5 linked regions of the Ovis aries genome follow. The protein of the gene in region 1 interacts with the protein of each later gene in a pairwise test. Links are inferred from orthologs where the notes say so. Each region holds a gene or a part of one and is shown on either strand. Other genes may lie near its edges.

Evidence for each region.
Region 2: the proteins of TLE5 (region 1) and keratin-associated protein 10-12-like interact in binary tests that used the Homo sapiens proteins (3 or more experiments, as listed by UniProt). The two-hybrid records come from large-scale screens. The link is inferred for Ovis aries from reciprocal best matches to the Homo sapiens genes TLE5 and KRTAP10-7.
Region 3: the proteins of TLE5 (region 1) and KRT40 interact in binary tests that used the Homo sapiens proteins (3 or more experiments, as listed by UniProt). The two-hybrid records come from large-scale screens. The link is inferred for Ovis aries from reciprocal best matches to the Homo sapiens genes TLE5 and KRT40.
Region 4: the proteins of TLE5 (region 1) and PRKAA2 interact in binary tests that used the Homo sapiens proteins (3 or more experiments, as listed by UniProt). The two-hybrid records come from large-scale screens. The link is inferred for Ovis aries from reciprocal best matches to the Homo sapiens genes TLE5 and PRKAA2.
Region 5: the proteins of TLE5 (region 1) and PRR3 interact in binary tests that used the Homo sapiens proteins (3 or more experiments, as listed by UniProt). The two-hybrid records come from large-scale screens. The link is inferred for Ovis aries from reciprocal best matches to the Homo sapiens genes TLE5 and PRR3.

The regions. Positions count from the first base shown.
Region 1 is NC_056058.1:18,528,392-18,531,272, forward strand, and holds part of TLE5 (TLE family member 5), read left to right. Parts: intron 1-648; coding exon 649-712; intron 713-2,055; coding exon 2,056-2,100; intron 2,101-2,725; coding exon 2,726-2,788; intron 2,789-2,881. UniProt on the Homo sapiens protein: Transcriptional corepressor. Acts as a dominant repressor towards other family members. Inhibits NF-kappa-B-regulated gene expression. May be required for the initiation and maintenance of the differentiated state.
Region 2 is NC_056054.1:262,544,338-262,548,347, forward strand, and holds keratin-associated protein 10-12-like, read left to right. Parts: upstream 1-1,454; 5' UTR 1,455-1,604; coding exon 1,605-2,504; 3' UTR 2,505-3,510; downstream 3,511-4,010. UniProt on the Homo sapiens protein: In the hair cortex, hair keratin intermediate filaments are embedded in an interfilamentous matrix, consisting of hair keratin-associated proteins (KRTAP), which are essential for the formation of a rigid and resistant hair shaft through their extensive disulfide bond cross-linking with abundant cysteine residues of hair keratins.
Region 3 is NC_056064.1:40,929,765-40,933,948, forward strand, and holds the start of KRT40 (keratin, type I cytoskeletal 40), read right to left. Parts: upstream 2,801-4,184; 5' UTR 2,799-2,800; coding exon 2,352-2,798; intron 1,517-2,351; coding exon 1,434-1,516; intron 14-1,433; coding exon 1-13. UniProt on the Homo sapiens protein: May play a role in late hair differentiation.
Region 4 is NC_056054.1:31,181,397-31,185,510, forward strand, and holds the start of PRKAA2 (5'-AMP-activated protein kinase catalytic subunit alpha-2), read left to right. Parts: upstream 1-1,314; 5' UTR 1,315-1,356; coding exon 1,357-1,450; intron 1,451-4,114. UniProt on the Homo sapiens protein: Catalytic subunit of AMP-activated protein kinase (AMPK), an energy sensor protein kinase that plays a key role in regulating cellular energy metabolism.
Region 5 is NC_056073.1:27,533,105-27,537,140, forward strand, and holds the start of PRR3 (proline-rich protein 3), read right to left. Parts: upstream 2,801-4,036; 5' UTR 2,760-2,800; coding exon 2,657-2,759; intron 1,944-2,656; coding exon 1,881-1,943; intron 1-1,880. Other genes in the region: GNL1 (guanine nucleotide-binding protein-like 1), read left to right, coding at 3,914-3,986.

The sequences.
Region 1 (2,881 bases):
GGGCCTTTGAGAAATATCCAAAGCTCATCCTTGCTGGGGCAACCCAAGAGAGGAGGGGGATCACCAGCTCTATTATCCAGTGATAGAAATTTATACCCCTCCCCCAACCATGGAAATCAGAGGTCACAAGATGGGCTGGGGGCCTTTGAAGATTCCTTACTGAATTCAGTCCAGAGCCCTGCCAGTGGGCTCTGGGCCCTTGTAACCTCTCAGCAATGTCTGTTTATTCCTTCTTTGCTGGAGAGTTTTGCCCAGTGGGTGGGAGTATGGCCTTTGAAGCCAGCTTCCTGGCTGTGTGACCTTGAGCCTGTTCACTCAACCTCTCTGAGCATCCATTGCATCATTTTTATGAAGGAGACTGACGTTAACAGCCCTGACCTCGTTGGATTTCATGATAGGAAAAAGTTTCTTTGAATCCCTGTCTGACCTACAGTCAGGATATTTGCTCTGACTTCTGTTTTTATTATTTTCATTGCTTTCTCCACCCCCACATCTTCAAGGTGGGTTTCATCATCCCCAGTTTCCAGCTAAGGCACCTTTGGGTCCCCTTCCCCCCTCTTCTCTCTGACCCCCACCAAAGTTTGGGGCTCCCTTGCACAATGAGGGGGACATCATCCCAGCCCTGGCCCTCCCCCTCTTCTTCTTCAGTCTGAAACTCGAATGTGACAAGCTGGCCAGCGAGAAGTCAGAAATGCAGCGTCATTACGTGATGGTAAGCCAGCCCGGGGGTCTGGTGGGCAGGGCCAGAGGACCCCAGGTCCCCCTCCAGCACTGGCAGCTGCTGTCTGAACCCTGGCCATCTCCTCTGGGATGTGCGAGAAGTCAGGGTCTGCTCTCCGCTCAGCCAGCCCCTGGCCGGGCTGAGTTAATCTTGTTGGCCTGGCTGCCGGCCCAGGCAGTGGCCGAGGTGCCAAGCCACCGGGTTGCGGCCTGGGCCTGCCAGGTCCCTGGCTGTCCTTGGCAGCGGAGGAGCCAGTGGCTGTGAAAGCCAGGAACTGGGGTTAGAGGGGGGTTGTTGATCCCTCCCCTCCCCACCCCCACTGTCTAAGCATCCCAGGCTTAACCCCTCCTAGTCCAAGCTTGGAGGAGGACTCCTGGAGGGCCCCCTTCCCCAGGCAGGAGGCTGACACTCTTTTGAGGTGGGTGGGTGGAAGGGAGGGAGGGGGTGACACTTCCTTCTTGGGCCTGACATTGGAGACCCTGCCCCTGCACACTGCTGGAATCACTTGCTTCGCTTCATATGCACCAGGTGGTGATTTCTGCATCAAAACCCCTGCCTAAGCCCAGCCCAGAGCCCACTTCCCCCAGGCCATGGGGGAGGCAGAGCTGGACAAGGAACCTCTGGATTCAGAGGGATGGGGCTGGGGCACTCCAGAAGGGTATGCTCCTGTTTGGAGAAAGACTGCATGGAGAAGGAGGCACTGCAGCTGGGGTCCTGATGAATGGATAGGAGCCAGCTGGGCAGAGAAGGGGAGACCACACAAACCTGGCTTTCTCCCCCTATCTTCCCTGGGGGGTGATGGGGAGTCATAGGAAGGTTTAGAGCAGGGGAGGTGCAGGGTCAGATGTGGGGCATGAGGAGGGGGGGCGCTGGCCCCAAAGGCAGACCCAACAGGATTTGTTTATCCTCGATTATTTATACCCAGGAAGACAAACTTCCCTGGAGTCCGGGGCCACCCGCAGACAAGACACATAAAGATAAAAGATTAGGAGCCTTGGAGTGTGTGTGTGCCTGTGTGTGTGTGCGTGTGTGTGTGCGTGCGTGCGTGCGTGTGTGTGTGTGTGTGTGTGTGTGTAGGGGTTGAGGTCATTATTCCAGAAATGGGGCATTCAGGGCCCCACTGGCGTCCCTAGCATCCTCACCAGGCACCTGGGCCCCAGCTCCAGGTGTGGGTGTCTCCCCGCTTCCGACTCCATCTCTCTCGCCTGCCCTCCCCTCCTCCTACCTCTCTCTTTCTCCCCCTCTTTGTCTCTCTCTGTCACTTCCCCTGTGTCTTTTGTCTCTGGAACCTCACATCCTTCACCCACCCCCATTTCTGTCTCCCCCCTACACAGTACTACGAGATGTCCTATGGCTTGAACATCGAGATGCACAAGCAGGTATGCCCCCTTCCCCCCTCCTCCGCCCCCCTGCCCCGCCCAGGCAGGTAGGAACCCGCCACCCCTTGGCTGAGAACCAAGACTGCCTTGGTATCCTGTTACCTCCGGAGCCCCCCCACTTCTGTTCTTTCTCAGGCCTCCCTGGGAGGTTGCTCTCCCTGAGGGGGAGGGCAGAGGCTTTCCCAGGACCTGCCACCCTCACTCCATTGTCTCTCTTTTGTGACAGCCCTGGGGGAGGGGGGTGATATGACCTGCCAACCCACCCTCCAAACCCTATCTCAGGTGTGTTAGAGAATTCTGATGCCAGCTGCCCCGACCTCTTCCTCCCTCCCTCTCACGGAATGCTCACTACCTGTGAGGCATCGGGCATCTTTCCAGGGCCACCCAGACCCCAAGCCACTGGGCCTGGATTTCGCTCTGTCCTGGGCTCTTAGCTACCCTCAGAGACTCAGCCCCCGGGGCCACTTTTGCTGCTGATCGGGTGCCCATGGGCCTGATGAGTCGATATGATCCTGGGACTTGCCGGCCTCCTCTTGGATTAGACAGAACCGCTGGGCTTTCCAGGGCTGGTCTGCACCTGCCCTGGCTGGCTGCTGCCCAGGGCTGAAGTGTCTGTCTGTTCCAGGCTGAAATCGTCAAGAGGCTAAATGGGATATGTGCCCAGGTCCTGCCCTACCTGTCCCAAGAGGTGAGCAGAGCCCCCGGGGGTCTGCTGGGAGGAGATAGACCCTGAACTTCCCTCAGCCCCACCCCTCTGTAGGCATCTGTGTGCCCCAGGGCA
Region 2 (4,010 bases), on another chromosome or scaffold:
ACCAAGAGGTATAAATGGCCCAAATGTTCATCGACTTATGGGTAAATAAAATGTTGTCTATTTCTATGAGGAATGTTATCCTGTCATAAAAAAGGATCAAGCACACATGTATGCCACATGTATGCCAAGTTGGAGTCAGACACAAAAGGCCACCTATTGTGTGATTCCTTTTACATGAAATGAGCAGAACAGCCAAAGTCATAGAGACAGAAAGCAGAGCGGTGCTTGACAGGGACTGGGGAGGGTCTACCCAATACTACAAGATTTCCTTTTGGGAATGTCCCGGGACTAGATAGTGGTCATAGTTGTACAGTGTTGTGACTGTACTAAATGTCCCTGAATCGAACACTTTAAAATGGTTAATTTTATATTATTTGTTACATGTAATAAAAAAAAAAACGTACCTGTTAAGGATTTCTAACAGGGAGGCCCCTAGAGCTTCCCTGGTGATCCAGTGGTTAACAATCCACTTGCCAATGCAAAGAACATAAATTTAATCCCTGGTCTGGGACTAGCCCACGTGCCACAACTACCAAAGCCCATATGTCCTAAAGCCAGTGCTCCTCAATAAGATAAGCCATTGCCAAGAGCAGCCTGCCCACTGCAACAAAAAGTAAGCCCCGTTTGCCACAACCAGGGAAAGCCTACATGTAGCAACAAAGACCCAGCTCAGCGAAAAGTTAACTAATTTTTAAAGAAGAGTGAGGACCTCAGACTGTGCAGCACTGGGTGTTACCAGTGTTGTAAATCTTGGCTGATCTTGCAGGTGGGATATTTGTGTTTTAATTTAGAGCCTTTTAATTATCAGTGATATCCAGTAGCTTTTCAAATGTTGATTGGAAATTTGAATGGACTGTGTGCTTGTGTTTGATTCTATTGTATCATATCCTGCTTTAGTTGTAAAGGCTTTCAACTTTTACATTGCAAATATTTTCTAGCAGTTCAATATCTTCACTTTATATGCCAAAAATATTTCTTTTGGGTTCTGATTGAAGTTACATCAGGGATGGATTGATCCAGAAAGAGTGGTAATTCAGTCTATAGCTCTGAGTTTCTTGCTTACACCTCTCGGGTCCCAGTGGATATATGTTGTGTGTGTTCTTTGGTCAAGTTTTCTATTTCGCTCGCAACTTATCTTCTTAGTAATGCTCTTAGGTATAGTTTGGGCTGCGGTAAAGCTAGGCATCTTTCCCTATGTATTCTCACACTGTCAAGGCTGGCGTGAAGTGGGAGCGGCTGCAGTGGCTGGGAACTTGTCTCACGCTCAGCCCCTCCCTCCGTGAACGTGACTTAAGAACCCTGGCAGGCATTCAGCAGAAACTTGCGTCTTGCATCCTCCACAAGTTTTCTGGAGCCAAACAAAGAACAGATGGGAAAACAGACTCTTGCAACGTACTCACATGTTTAATGAGTAAAAGCTAATTGTAGAAAACACAGCAGCCCTAATGAGGGTCAGCTCCAAACAGCAACAAGGAAGGGAGAGCGTGGGAGCCTCCGACCAGGGCCACGCGCATACTCAGGGCGGGTATAAAAGCAGACACCCTCAGCACTTCACTCACACACTCACACACACTTACACCTCCTCCAGCCGTACCACCTCCACCATGGCCTTCTCTAACCTGTCTGCTTGCTCCAGCGACCTGAGCTACAGCAGCCGGATCTGCCTGCCTGGATCCTGTGACTCCTGCACCGGCTCCTCCTGGCAGGTGGATGACTGTCCAGAGAGCTGCTGCGAGCCCCCCTGCTGTGCCCCCAGCTGCTGCACCTCGGCCCCCCGCCTGACCCTCCTCTGCGCCCCAGTGAGTTGTGAGTCCAGCCCCTGCTGCCAGCCAGCCTGCAGCAGCTCCTGCCCAGCCTCATGTGGCCAGCAGTCCAGCTGCCAGTCCTCCTGCTGCACCTCCTCCCGCTGCCAGCAGGCCTGCTGTGAACCTGTCTGCTGTGAGCCTGTCTGCTGCAGGCCCGTCTGCTGCAGGCCTGTCTGCTGTACACCTGTCTGCTGCACACCTGTCTGCTGCAGGCCTGTCTGCTGTGAGGCCTCCCCCTTCTCAACCTCCTCATGTTGCCAGCAGTCCAGCTGCCAGCCCTCCTGCTGCACCTCCTCCTGCTGCCAGCAGGCCTGCTGTGAGCCCGTCTGCTGCAGGCCTGTCTGCTGTACACCTGTTTGCTGCAGGCCCGTGTGCTGTGAGACCTCCCCCTGCTCAGCCCCCTCATCCTGCTGCAGACCCTCCTCTTCCGTGTCCCTCCTCTGCCGTCCTGTGTGCCGCCCCGTGTGCGGCCCCACCTGCTGTGTGCCCGCCTCCTCTTGCAAGCCCAGCTTCTGCCGCCCGGCCTCCTCTGTGTCCCTCCTCTGCCGCCCTGCGTGCCGCCTCGCCTGCTGTGTGCCCACCTCCTCCTGCCAGCCAAGCTGCTGCCGCCCAGCCTCCTCTGTGTCCCTGCTCTGCCGGCCTGCATGCTCCCGCCTGGCCTGCGGCATCCCCACCTCAGCCCCGGAGCTCTGCTGCTGACCGGCCAATCACCCGCCCTCCACAAGCTGCTGTCTCTCTCCCAAGCTCCAGGAGCCCCTCTGCTGGCGCCAGGACCTCCCCTCTCCCAAAGTTGGACACGCAGCTGCTGCCCAGAGAGGATTCGAACTTGGCAGGCATCTCAGAAAGCCCTTGACAGGGTGGACTGTGGGGCCCCAGGAGCCTCCTCTGCAGGACAGGCTGCTTGAATCCCATATGACAAACATCAGCTGCTCTAATGAATAAAGCGTTTGTGTCAGGAAATATGGACCCATGTCTGTTTTGGCCTCCTCCCTTGGGCCCCCTCAGCCCCTCCAAATATGGCCTGTAGGTGCTCTGCTGGCAGAAGCCAGGCAGTAAAGACACATTCTCCCATCCGAGTTCAAAGCAGCTGAGAAACAACAGGATCTGAAAGCTGGTGCCATTCACACATTCTATGTCCCTTCCTACCCCAGGCTCACTCTCCCTGCAGTGGACGGCCCTTCAAGGCTGACATGGAGGCGGGTGTGGGTGCAGAAGGCTCAGATCCTGAGTGGGCCCTGGGTTCCTCCCCCTGCCCATGCAGGTTGAGGGTGACTTGGGGAGCAGCAGAAACCCTCCTGGGTCTGGATCGGAGAGTCCAGGGTAAGTGCTGTTGGAGAGACGTGCCAACACTGAGGAGGAGATTCTGGGGGCTCCAAGGGGGTGCAGTGTCAATTTAGACATCACTCATTCTACTCAAGGTTTCAAAGCCTGACCGAGGAGGGACAGAACAAAAGAGACGCCTTGTGAACAAACCCTCAGGACAGTAGGGGAGAAAGAGCCTGCAGTCTTAGTGGACATTAGCAATAGAGGAAGTGGGCACCAGTCAGCACCAGTCAACTACTTATCCCCCACCAGAAACAGACTGATGAGGCCCATAGGAGCAGGAGAACAGTGGTGGCTGGGGCAAGAGGGACCAGGAACTGAAGGCATCTCCCCAGGGGATACTATCCCCACCCCAGCTCAGTTCCATCCAGGAAAGAGGGAATGGAGCAAAACCCTAAGAGGACTGGTAAACAGGTGTCCTGCCTCAACTCGTAAATCTCTTTCCTGAGTTTACTCAAGACAAGTACCATTTTTCTCCTTTGCCTTTAGCTTCTTTTCTTTTCTCACCTATTTGTAAAGTCTCCTCAGATAACCATTTTTGCCTTTTTGCATTTCTTTTGGTTGGGGATGGTCTTAATCACTGTCAAGTGATCAAAGGCAAAGGAGAAAAGGAAAGATATACCCATTTGGATGCAGAGTTCCAAAGAATAAAAGGAGAGATAAGAAAGCCTTCCTCAGTGATCAGTGCAAAGAAAAAGAGGAAAACAATAGAATGAGAAAGACCAGAGGTCTCTTCAAGAAAATTAGAGATACTAAGGGAACATTTCATGCAAAGATGGGCTCAATAAAGGACAGAAATGGTATGGACCTAACAGAAGCAGGAGATATTAAGAAGAGGTGGCAAGAATACACAGAAGGACTATGCAAAAAAGGTCTTCACGA
Region 3 (4,184 bases), on another chromosome or scaffold:
TTCAGATTCGTACCTTTTACAGCAAAAGAGATACAGCCAATGCTTACTCTGCTGGACACTGAGAAAAGTGCTGAGCCCTACAGCTGAGGGACACATGACATCAAGGAACCCACATGCCATAATTTCTTCTACATCCAAATCATGAAAAATTCAAGCTTTGTGAGCATTCTTAGCTTGAAAAAATATTATAAAGGGAATCCTTGTGATGTGTGCATGTAGGTATGTGAGAGAAGAAGCGGAAGAGCCTACCATATGTTAAGTTCGAATTCAGATCTGGTCTTACTCTAGCTTGTACTTGCTTCTAAGTCCACAATACAAGCAGCTCATACAGCTCAATATCAGAGAAACAAATAGTCCAGTCAAACAAAATGCGCAGACTTAAACAGACATTTTTCCAAATAAGACATACAAATGGCCAATAAACACATGAAAAGATACTCTACATCTCTCATTATTAGAAAAATGTAAGTCAAAACTACAATGAGGCATCACTTCACACCAATCAGAATGGCTATCATCGAAAAAATGATAAGCAATAAATGCTGGAGAGGATATGCAGAAAACGGAACCTATGGCACTGTTGGTGGGAATATAAATTGGTATGGCTGCTATGGAGAACAGTATGGAGATTCCTTAACAAACTAGGAATAAAGCCCCCATATGACCCAGCAATCCCACTACCAGGTATACACTCTGAGAAAACCACAGTTCAAAAAGACAGATGCACGCCAGTGTTCATGGCAGCACTATTTACTGCGACTAGGACATGGAAGCAACCTTGACTTCCATTGACAGATGAGTGGATAAAGATACATACATTGATACACACATACATAAAGATACATACATGTACATGCATGTATGTAAAGATACATACATACATTGAGATAATACGTACAAATGGAATATTACCCAACCATAAAAAGGAAAAAAATGAGTCAGTTGTAGTGAGATGGATAAACCAATAGCCTATTATACAGAGGGAATCATTAATAAGTCAGAAAGAGAAAAACAAATACTGTATATTAATGCATATATATATATGGAATCTAAAAAAATAGTACTGATGAACCTATTTACAGAGAGGAAATGGAGATGCAGATGTAGAGAATGGTCTGGTGGACACAGCAAGGGGAAGGAAAGGGTAGGACAAGCTGAGAAAGTGACTTTGACATATACGTACTATCATGGGGAAAATAAATAGCTCATGGGAAGCTGCTGTATAACACAGGGAGCCCAGCCTTGTGCTCTGCGGTGACCTAGAGGGGTGGAATTGAGGCAAGAGAGGCTCAAGATAAAGGGGATATATATATATATTATATATATTATATATATATATAATTATGATTGGTTCATGTTGACATATGGCAGAGACTACCACAAGATTGTAAAGCAATTTCTTGCAAGGAAAAAAAAGTTCAAATTAAACTTACTTTGACCTAAAGTCATCAGCAGCCAGTTTGCAGTTGTCAAGCTGTACAGCAAGTCTACAATTTTCTGCCTTCGTACACAAGATCTGGGAAGAAAGTTACTATGTCATGAATGGTTCTTTGAAAGAAACCCACATATCTACTCATTTAATAACTATGCCAGGGTTTATCTTTTAAAAGTCTTTATAAGAAAATATAGGCCTTCAGCCTGCTTTTACTGACCATATCATTTCATGAAGGAAAAAGGAGGGCCAATTTATAAACAAAATAGAGAAATAAAAAGGTTGTTGTTTTTTTTTTAATGACTTAAAAACATTTTTGCAGTATTCCTTGGCCACTGAACTTAGGTAGATTTCTCTCTAGGAGTTTATATTATGACTACATCTCCACCCATGATAATAAAAATTTATCAGTAAGAAAAAGACATAATTACCAGGTAAAATTATATGGTTAAAAGATGACATTTCCATATCTATGTTAAATAATGTACTTGTACAGTGTTACACGCAGAAATAATTTTAGATATCACACTGCTTTTCCTCAAGGTAAATTTAGGGATAAGCGGGTTTATTGTGGTCATTTAGTAATTAGCGGCAGCATACAGGCTAGCGCTGATGTTTACTGACTTTTTCCCCCTCTATTCTTTTGGGCCATGCCGCATGGCACGTGGGGTCTTAGTCCCCCACCAGGGATGGAACCTAAGCCCGCTGCAGTGGAAGCACAGTGTCTGAACCATTGGACCACCGGTCACCCTGTTTGCTGGCTTTTTGTCCAGTACCCTTGCCTCTACATCACATTCCCCCTGGGAAGCCCCTCCCCTTTCCCTGGTTTCCCTCCACAGAACAGACTCTTGTAGTAGTAGAAACATAAAGCACATCACAGAGTGGGAAGGTGGAACATTAGGGTGATGGGATACTAGACCTTTTGCTGGAGATCTTCAATGGTGTCGAAGTAACACTGATAATCAGGGCACACCAACGGGACATCCTCTTCACTCTGTTCCCGGATCCTGCATTCCAACTCAGCATTCAACTCCTCCAGCCCGCGCACCTTCTCCAGATAGCTGGCGAGCCTGTCATTCAGGAACTGCATCGTCTCCTTCTCGTTACTGTTGAATGCACCGTCCTCACACCAGGCACAGTTCCCCAGCACGCCCGGAATATTACAGCTCCCCGCAAAGCAGGACGGTGGGAGGCACCCAGTTGGCAGACGAGACCCGGATAGAAAGCTGGGGGTCTGGCAGCTGGATGTAGCACAGGCGCTGGGGAGACAAGTGGTTGCCGCGGAACAGGTTGAGGCAAGCGCACAATCAGAAGCCCTGGCACTGGATTCAGAAGAGCAGCCCGTGGGGGAACAGTCAGAAGCCATTCTATCAGAAGTGAAGGGCAAAGACTAGTTGCAAAACTCCAACTGCCCGCCTCCAAAACTCTCATTCCCTCCCGAGACTTTTATATATACCCCACTTCAAATGGGTATTTACAGACTACACAGGATGTTTTCCGGTGCATTTTTCATATGAACATTCATTAGTGTTGTTTATTTGCTGAAGAAGAGTTTTATGCTTCGTAAAAGAGCCATAACTTCAGGTTTCTAAATAAAGACACCATCTCCATGTGCCAATAGGATAAAGCACTTGTTTCAGAAAATCTTCACAGGAAGCATTGTCCTTTTGACAGAATAAGGAAAGAAAGAGAAAATTTGGGCAATCAGTAATTATAGATACAACTGATTACACATAAAGGAAATCATATCCCTACAGATTTTGATCCTGTGCATTGAAAACTGCTCGTCTTCTTTTGAAATTAATGTTACAACTCATTTAAATGCTATTTATTTGTTTGTGCCCCCACCATAAAAGTGTTCTGTGTGATTAGCCATCTTCAATGCTTTTTGTGGTCTTGCTGTGCTCACATGGTGGAGGACTGAGTGTATACTGAATTTGAAGTGTGTGTGTGAGAACCATACATGCCCATGTGCAAACTGAAAAGTCACTTTACATAACTGATGGGCATCACTTTTGCCCTACATGCCAAAATATAAATTGGTTATCAAAACGTGGAGTTGTAATCTTTGATTTCCTGAAACTTGCCTTCTCTACTTTTCCTATGCTTCACTTTTATATCAGAGATACTGATTTTTCATCTGTATCTCTAATAAGAATGAAATATGAATTCTGTTATAATTTTTTAGTCTCAGGAAGCTAAACCTTCGTTAACTACACTTCAGTATAGAAGGAAGAAAGTTACAAAAGGCATTTCTTCTGGGACATGGAAGCTGTTTTCTCAGATTTACTAATTTATTTAATTTTGAAGGCCTCAATTTCATGAAAATTAAATATGCTGGAACTTGGGAATAAAAGTCTTTTGTATGAGTTCCAGCAATTCCATTGGATGAACTCCCTGGGGCAGTACTGAATGGATAGGGATCTGAGATGTAAGTTTTCTGGGTTCTTTCTTAAGTTTTATCTCCAATTTTCAGTTTTCTTGCCTTTGATTGTGGTATTTATTTCATTTTAAAAAGTGTACAGAGAAAATTGTCTGCAGAATGTTAAAGATCTTTATGGGGTGGGTAGCCCATTACTCCGACAAAGTTAAAATTTTCATGATCCAGAATAAACAATTATTTTTTAACTCTGAGTACTTCTTCCTTAAATAGCTGATAATGGGAAAACAACCAACCAACCAAAACCAAACCTGGAGACTTAAGATAGAGGATTAAAATAGTCTCTTAGAATTTATTATTCATTGAGCAAAG
Region 4 (4,114 bases), on another chromosome or scaffold:
AAACATTTATTCCCAATAGGCAAATGATTTTTAAGCACTGACAGGCAACACTGGAAACTAGGAGACTGAAGGAAGGAAAGAAGAAAGGAGAGGAGAAGGGAGGGCGGGAGGAGTAATCACTGTACTTACTGTATCTTGGCAGTTTTTAAGGCTCTGCCTGCTTCTAGTTTCCTCTTGCCGTTTCCTCACTCCCCCTTCAATCTTTACCTTTAATTTGTGCCCTTACATTGCCCTTGTCCCTTAGGTAGCTTACTCCCCAAGCTCACTACGTTCAGTTTCCCGCTTCAGTTTCTTCCACTATTTCCCTCTTGTGCAGCTCTATCACAATTTCTTTGCTATATATACTTGATTAGTTGTGTCTAACTCTTTTGCGACCCCATGGACTGCAGCCCGCCAGGCTTCTCTGTCTATGGGAATTCCCAGGCAACACTATCGGAGTGGATTGCCATTTCCTTTTCCCTGGGATCTTCTCAACCCAGGGATCAAACCCTTGTCTCCTAGGCGGATTCTTTACCACTGAGCCTCCTAGAAAGCCCATATATTTATATGTCTAAAATACAGTTGAGCAAATATTGGGACTGATTGGTGAACTTTGTGCAAATTAGTTAGAACGGAGAGCTCTAGAGAGGGTATCTCCTCCATAACTGAGAATTAGACAGAACGTAGAGGAGAATCAGTGAAGCCAGCAGAGTTGGCTTTTTTTGTTTGTGCCCTGGTGACCTGTATGAAAACAGTGCGTGACTCCAAAAGCTTCCTTGTGACTCTCCTCCGACTGACCTTCGATCAAGGCCCTTCCCCACTGCCGCCAGCCCTGACTTCCCTCGGACCCACACACTGCTTTTCACGCCCCTCTCTCCCCACACTTCAGGCCTGTTTCTCTTCCCCAGGTTCTATTAATACTTCCATTGCTTTCCACTCGCCAAGATTCGGCCCAAATCTCACCCTCTCATTCGCACCGTCAGGTTCTGCTAGAGGGCCCCTTAACCCGGCTCCCACCCCAGGGCCCCTCCTCCAGGTAGCGAGGCGACATCCTTCCCCCTCCCCGCTCCGCGCACACCTGTCGGCCTCCGACCTCCCCCGCACCGAGCGCCCACGCTCCCTCCACTGCGCCCCCAGGGCCCTGGCCCCGGGCCCACGCCGGCCTCACGCCCGCCCAGGGGCCTCGGCGCGCCCCCGCCCCTGCCCCCCACCTGCTCGCGTCCCCCCTCCCCCCGCCCCGCCCCGCCCCGCCCCGTCTCGCCTGGTCCCCAAGTCTCGGGCCCCCGCCCCCCGCGGGCCCGCTGCACTGTGGGTAGGCGGCGGCGGTGGCCGCGCAGAGGATCCCGCGGCGGCGGAGCGAGGCTGCGCGCGCCGAACATGGCTGAGAAGCAGAAGCACGACGGGCGGGTGAAGATCGGCCACTACGTGCTGGGCGACACGCTGGGCGTCGGCACCTTCGGCAAAGTGAAGAGTTGAGTACGCCGCGCCTCGCGGGAGGCCGAGCCCCGGAGTCCGGGTGTGCCGGGCCGCGAGCGGGCAGCGGGTGGCGGGGCCTGGCGGCAGGTGGAGCGGCCGCGCCCGGGCCGCGCGGAACCTGGGGACCGAGGGAAGGCAGTGGGTACCGCTTCGCCCCGCGGCAACGGCGGCGTCCCGGCGAGGGGGCTCGGGCGGGGGCGTCGCGAGGTCCTGGGACTGGCGTCCAGCACGCTTCTACTGCCCGACCTTAGTGCCCCCCTCTGAAACCCGGAGATTGGGTTGTTGGGCGAGATGCCTTTCAGCTGGGAGGCTGCAAGGACCCTGAGGAATGACCCACGGTCCTGATGGTGGAGTTCCCATTTCGTGCCAGGTGTCCCGTTAGGTGCTTCACGTGTGATCTCCTGTAATCCTTACAGCAGCTGCAGGTGTTATCTTCGCCTGTAACGTGAGAAAACGGGGACCCCCTAGCAGGGACGTGTTCAAGGTCACACTGAAATTGGCAGAACTGGGATAAAGGTCTAAAATGTCCTCCAATTTTGGCCAGGCTGGGAAGTCCTGCTGTCTGGATTCTTTCGTGCTCCCTGACTCTGGATTAGTAGGGCTGGTAGTTTACGGGGGATCCCCGGGGCGCGAGGTGGGTGGGTCTTTCTGCTGGCCTTGGGAAACGCTGGGATGTACCTGGGTTGGGTCAGGGCTTAGAACTGGGAGGTCTGAAGGTTGCTTGTGTGTGTAAAATGGTTCTAGGAAGGCTTCCAGGATGGAGGGAAAGGAAAAAGGGACTTTGGAGTTGGATCTTGAGGATGTAGGGCTGAGGCCAGAATTGCTAAGACGTACTCTGCTGAGCTCTGTGTTCCTAAGTGATGGGATCCCATTTTGGGTGTAGAAAAACAGGCTGCTTTGATTTTTTTTTTTTTTTTTTTTTACTGGTTACTAGTTAAGTATTGAACTTTCCTGTTTTTCTTAAGAGTCATGTGAGATTAATTAACTTGTCCTCTCTCCAGAACTAGAACCAACTTATTAAAAATACTTCTTTTGGTTGTTGCTTTTTTCTTTTTTCATTTTGCTGAGAAAATGTTGGGTAGGCAGCTTGAGGATTTTATTGAGGCCTCTATTTCCTTAAAAAATCATAATGAAAAAATTTTAAGTTTTAAAAATTATAGTAAATTACAATTTTGTGTTAGTTTCTTCTCTATGACATTGTGAATCAGCTGTAAGTATACATGTATTCCCTCCTTCTTGAGCCTCCCTCCCACTCTGCTAGGTCATCACAGAACGCTCAGCCGTTCTCTGTGCCATACCTTAGCTTCCCACTAGCTAGCTGTTTTACACATGGTAGTGTAGAGATCAATACTACTCTTCCACTTCGTCCAAAAATCCTATTTTAACCTTGAATCCAGGCTGTAAGTGGATAGAAGAGACTCGTTCATTCATATGGTAGGGATCAGCTTTTATTTACTTGCACACATCTGATACCCTTTCTTTTGTTCAGTAAACACTTACTGAGTGCCTACAGTGTGCCAGGCACTGTTCTAGGTAATGGGGACACCCTAGGAACAAAATCATTAAAATCTTTCCTTTTGTGGTGCTTATATTCAAGTAGGGGAAGACAGTAATCACTGTATATATTTGTGTGTGTGTGTGTGTGTGTGTGTGTGTAGTATTTTTAGTGCTGTGAAGACAAGTGAATCGGAGTTTTGTGCAGTTCACAGTTTTCAGTAAGATTGTCAGGCATGGCCTTACAGATAGGGTGTATGTTTATATAAAGACCTCAGGTTTGTAAAATTCTTTCAAGTCCTGTGAGGGCTGTGAAGTCCTTCCTGGCTTAGGTTTGCAAGACCTCATAAAGTGGTAAGTGGAGAGAATATATTTAGAGTGAATATATGAAGATTCAGGAACTGGATTAATGCTGTGACATTACTAAGGACTATTGTGTTTTGATGTTACGCACTCAAGTCTTCACCATCTAGGCATGTACACTTTCCAAGTTATATAATGTATACTGTTCCTTTTCAAATTGCATTAAAAATTGTTGTTTTTAAAAAAATTATTGTGTAACCTGAATATTGGCTAAAATACCCATCAGATAGATCATTTGGTCCATTGTCACAGGACAACTTAAATCTCTTTTTGTATATATCCTTGAACTGACCTAAAATATAAACCAACAGAAGGTACTTGGATTTATGAGAAATCCTTTTCCTGGAAGACTCCTTCCCAGTGAGCAGCTAACTGGGGAGATTTCCTAACACTGTATGAACACCTCTCCAAAGTTAGTGCTCTCCCATCCAAAGTTAGGATTAGTACAGTTGCTTAATAAAAATTATATAAGTGCAGCAGTCTAAAGTTACTCATTTACAGTGGACCCTTGAACACCATGAGTCTGAACTGCAGAGATCTACTTTTACAACAGATAATTTTTTTCCTCTAAATAAATACTACAGTATTATACAGTCAAGGTTGGTTGAATCCTAAAATGTGAAACCATGAATACTGCGGGAGGAATATAAGGTTATACACAAGTTTTCAACTTCCTGGGGTCCAGTGCCTCTAACTCCAGTGTTGTTCAAGGGTCCACTGTAATTCTTTAAGGGACTACAAACAAAAGCACGCTTATTTTTAAACACAACTTTTTTTCAAGCATATTTAAGATATCCTAAAA
Region 5 (4,036 bases), on another chromosome or scaffold:
CCAGGTTGCTCGTAGCAGGAGTTCCTTCATTTTCTCTGCAGTGTGGTATTCCACTACATGTACACACAACTGATTTAGCCATTCTACTGATGGTGGACATGCTACTAGATTCCACATTTTTGTTATAGTGTGGGGATATAACAAAAAAAATGCTGCTATGAACATTTTTATATAAGTCTTCGGTACACACGTGGATGCATTTTTGTTGAGTATATATGTGGTAGAGGTATTATTGGATCCTTGAATATATGTATGCTTACGTTTAAGAAATTCGAAACTTGGGTTGTTCCTATTCACACTCCCACTACCACCATAAACAAGCTGTTATTCCTTGACAACACTTGGTAACAATCTTTTTCATCTTTGCCATTCTGGTGGGTGTGAAAAGCAGTGTTTTGTTTTGAAATTGTGATTGTAACTAACATAAAACTTTCCACTTTAGTACTTTAAGTGTGTATCTCTGTAGTGTTAAGTAATTTCTTGTTATTGGAAAACAGATCTCCAGAACTTTTCATCTTGCAAAACTGAAACTCAGTAGCTTCTAAACAACTCTTTCCCTCTCCTCGCCCCAGCTTCTGGCAAGTACCATTCTACTTTCTGTTAGTATGAATTTAGTTACTTTATATACTTCAGATCAGTGGAACCATACAGCATTTTTTTGTGTGACTGGCTTAGCGTCAAGGTTCATCGGCGCTGTGGCCTGCTACAGGACTTTCTTCTTTTGAGGGCAGAATCACATTCCATTACATGATCATACCACACTCTGTTTACCCATCATCCATCGATGGGCATCTGGCGGCTTCCATATCTTGTCTACCGTGCATAGTGCTGCTATGAACATGGGGTGTGACTCCCTCTTCAAGATCCTGCTTTCCACTCTTCTTGGTAAACACCCAGAAGTGGAACTGCTGGATCACATAGTAGTTCTATTTTAATTTTTTGAAGAATCTCCATACTGTTTTCCATTGTGGTTTCACCACTTTACAATCCCATCAACAGTACACAAAGGGTTTGGTTTCCAAGTTATATGCTTTTATCTTGCCCTTATCTGATGACTAATGATGCTGTGTTCTTGTTCATGTTTTTGGCCATTTAGATCTCAGTTTTTATTAGGTGGCTGTTCTAGTCTTTTGCCCACTTTTCTAACAGATTGTCAGAGAGTTTTTTATATGTTCAAAATTTTAACTCTTTATTGGTTATATTTGTTGCAAGTATCTTCTACTCTATGGCTTCCTATTAACTTAATGATGTGATTTGATTAATAGAAGTTCGTATTTCCTAATGTAATTCAGTTTATTTTTCCTTTATGCTTAGTGTGTTGCTTGTCTGTTTAAAAACTCTAATCTACTTTAAGACCATGAAATACATTTGTTTTCTGAAATTACTTCTTTACCCATGAATATCCAATTAACCTGCCATGATTTGCTGAAAAGGCCACTATTTCAATCCCATCTTCAAGAATGAAATGACCATATGTGTGTGGGCCTGTTACTGGACTCTTTATGCCATTCTGTTAATTTATATGTCTCTTTTTGGACCAATACCACACTGCCATAACTGCTACAGCTTTAAGATAAGTCTTGATATTCAGAGTAAGCCCTTCCCCTTAAAAAATTGTCTTTGCAATTTCTCACCCTGATCCTTTGCATTTCCATATAATAATGCAGAATGCTTATTTCTACAAAAACATTGTAGGGATTATAAGTGGGAATGCAATGGATCTATGGGTCAATTTTGGAAGAACTGTCATTTTACAGCATTGAGTTTTTCATTTAAGTACCGAATTCTTGATCTTTTTTTTACATCCCTTGTGGGTTTTAGTCCCTCCCTTGCTCCCTTTTCACGACCTAATCAAAGGATCAGGGCCCCTTTCTTCTCACCTGACTTGGGGTCACCAGGCTTTCCATTGGCCATGGGGGGAGGGCCCAGAAGGCTGGGTGGTCCTAAGAGTAGACATGAAAATATGGTCATCAGAATGGACTAAAAAACTGATGATCCTGTTCTTATATGCTTTCCTTCTACTACTCATTTCTTAATCTAACCAGTAAAGCCAGGTATATTCTCAACAGTGTTATGGGTTCTGACGCCCATCTATTTCCAAAGCATTTTCAGGATTTGCAAAGTGGAGACTCAGCCCTGTCACGGCGTATAATGAGAAAACGATACCTACAAACTTTCTCTCTCCCTTACATTGTTGCTATCCAATAGATCCCAAGTGACTCCTGAGATAAAACCAATCCCTCTCTTTAACTGCTGGCCAGTCAGATACCTCTCCTTTAACCCTATCCGCAAGGAGTTCACAGAAAGCTCTACTTCCACCTTCCCCATGCAAGTGTGGTCACAAACTGTCATCCCAGTCATCGCAATCTGCAACTTCTCTAGGGCCCCTCTCCCTCTGACGTTTTGCGGCTGCGCACATAAGTTCTTTATCTCCTCTCCCTTCTTTACAAAGGGTTAGAGGCCAGTTTGAAGTTGAGGATTCAAGAAAGAGAACTCATTTAGTGTTCCATCCCACACAGGCTCCCCCCCCCCGGCCCCCGCCCCAGCGCGTGCGCCCTTCCTCCCGTTAGACCCCTCTCCCCCGCATATTTTCAGCCTCTAACCCTTCGCCTCGACAGGCTGACAGGCATGTGCGCACCCCTCCGGGGCTCCTCACCGATGGGGCTCCCATCCTCCTCGTCTCCAGTCTCATCCCGCTCTGGCAGTGGGGGCTGCTGCTGCAGTTGCTGCTGCTGATTCTGCTTCTTTCGTTTCGGCATCGTGGTTGCGGCAATGGCTGCAGCGGGATTTGGAGGGCAGTGAGGAAGGGGCACGCTGGGATTCTGTTTCCGCTTCCGGGGGGGGCGGTGGACACTGAGGCTGAGGCTCCCGCCATTTCACTTCCGGAAGGCTGCGGAGAATCTTTGTGCGGTTCTTCTCGCATCAGCCGCCTCCCGCAGTCTCTGCCAGGCAGGGCAGCAATCTCAAACCTTTCCTTTGCTGCGTTGCTATAAACGCTTTGAAAAAGTTGCTCGCTCCTCCCCTCGCTGAAAGAAAATCCACAACCGGCTGCTCCTCACAGCCTGCCATAGAGTCGACTCTCGGGCCAGAAGGCCTGATAAGAGAAGGCTGTCGCATCTTGAGATCGCCATATCCGGTCCCCGGTTTCTATGGTAACAGCTGCAGGCACAACTTGGTGCCCTATGACCTCCCTCCCAAAATCCTTGTCCCACCTGGGTTTCTCTCCTCGGCGGCGCTTGCATTTATGATCTGTAAGCCTGCTCCTTATCATCATTCCCACAAGGAATTTGGGTCCCAGCAGGGCGCTGCCCAGGGCTCTCCAGACCGCCACCCACCCTTCAAGACCTCTGACCCGGCCCCCAGTGTAGTTCAGTAACTCTGCTTCCTTCCCGGGATGCGCAGTCGCGCCTTTCCTCTAAGGCCCAGCTGGAGGATTGGTAAAGTAGCTTATGCGCGTCCACGCCCCTTTCTCCCCAGGTGGTAGGACCCGCCCTCCGCTCCACCGCCCCCTCCAGGTGAGTGGTAGCTTCTCCCCGGCGCGCAAGGTAGTGATGACACGCGTCCCCCCTCCTCTGAAGGCGAGTTGGTAGCGTCCGTGACGAAGTTAGCCCGATCCTCCCACGCGCGCCTCCTTCCTCGCCGCCGCAGCGCCCTCTCCGTGCCACTGGCTCTCACGTGCGGGTAGCCTACCCTGCATCATCCTCTCGCCTCGCTCTCACTGGGAAGTGACTGTATTTCCCCGTTGTCTTCCACCCGGGCCGCCCGGGCGCAGCGGCCGGGCCCGCCCGCTGACGTCACCTTCAGCCCCGCCCCCTCCAGGGTCCCGGGCCCTTGCGGCGGGGGCTGCCCCGGGGGGAGTCAGTTGAGGCGGCGGGAGCTCGGCGGAGGGCGGGCCAGGTGACTGGTCCGGGCCATGCCGAGGAAGAAGCCTTTCAGCGTGAAGCAGAAGAAAAAGCAGTTGCAGGACAAGCGGGAGCGGAAGAGAGGTCAGTGCAGGAGCCAGAGGAGGGGGCGGGGCTCGGACTCCCGCACATCT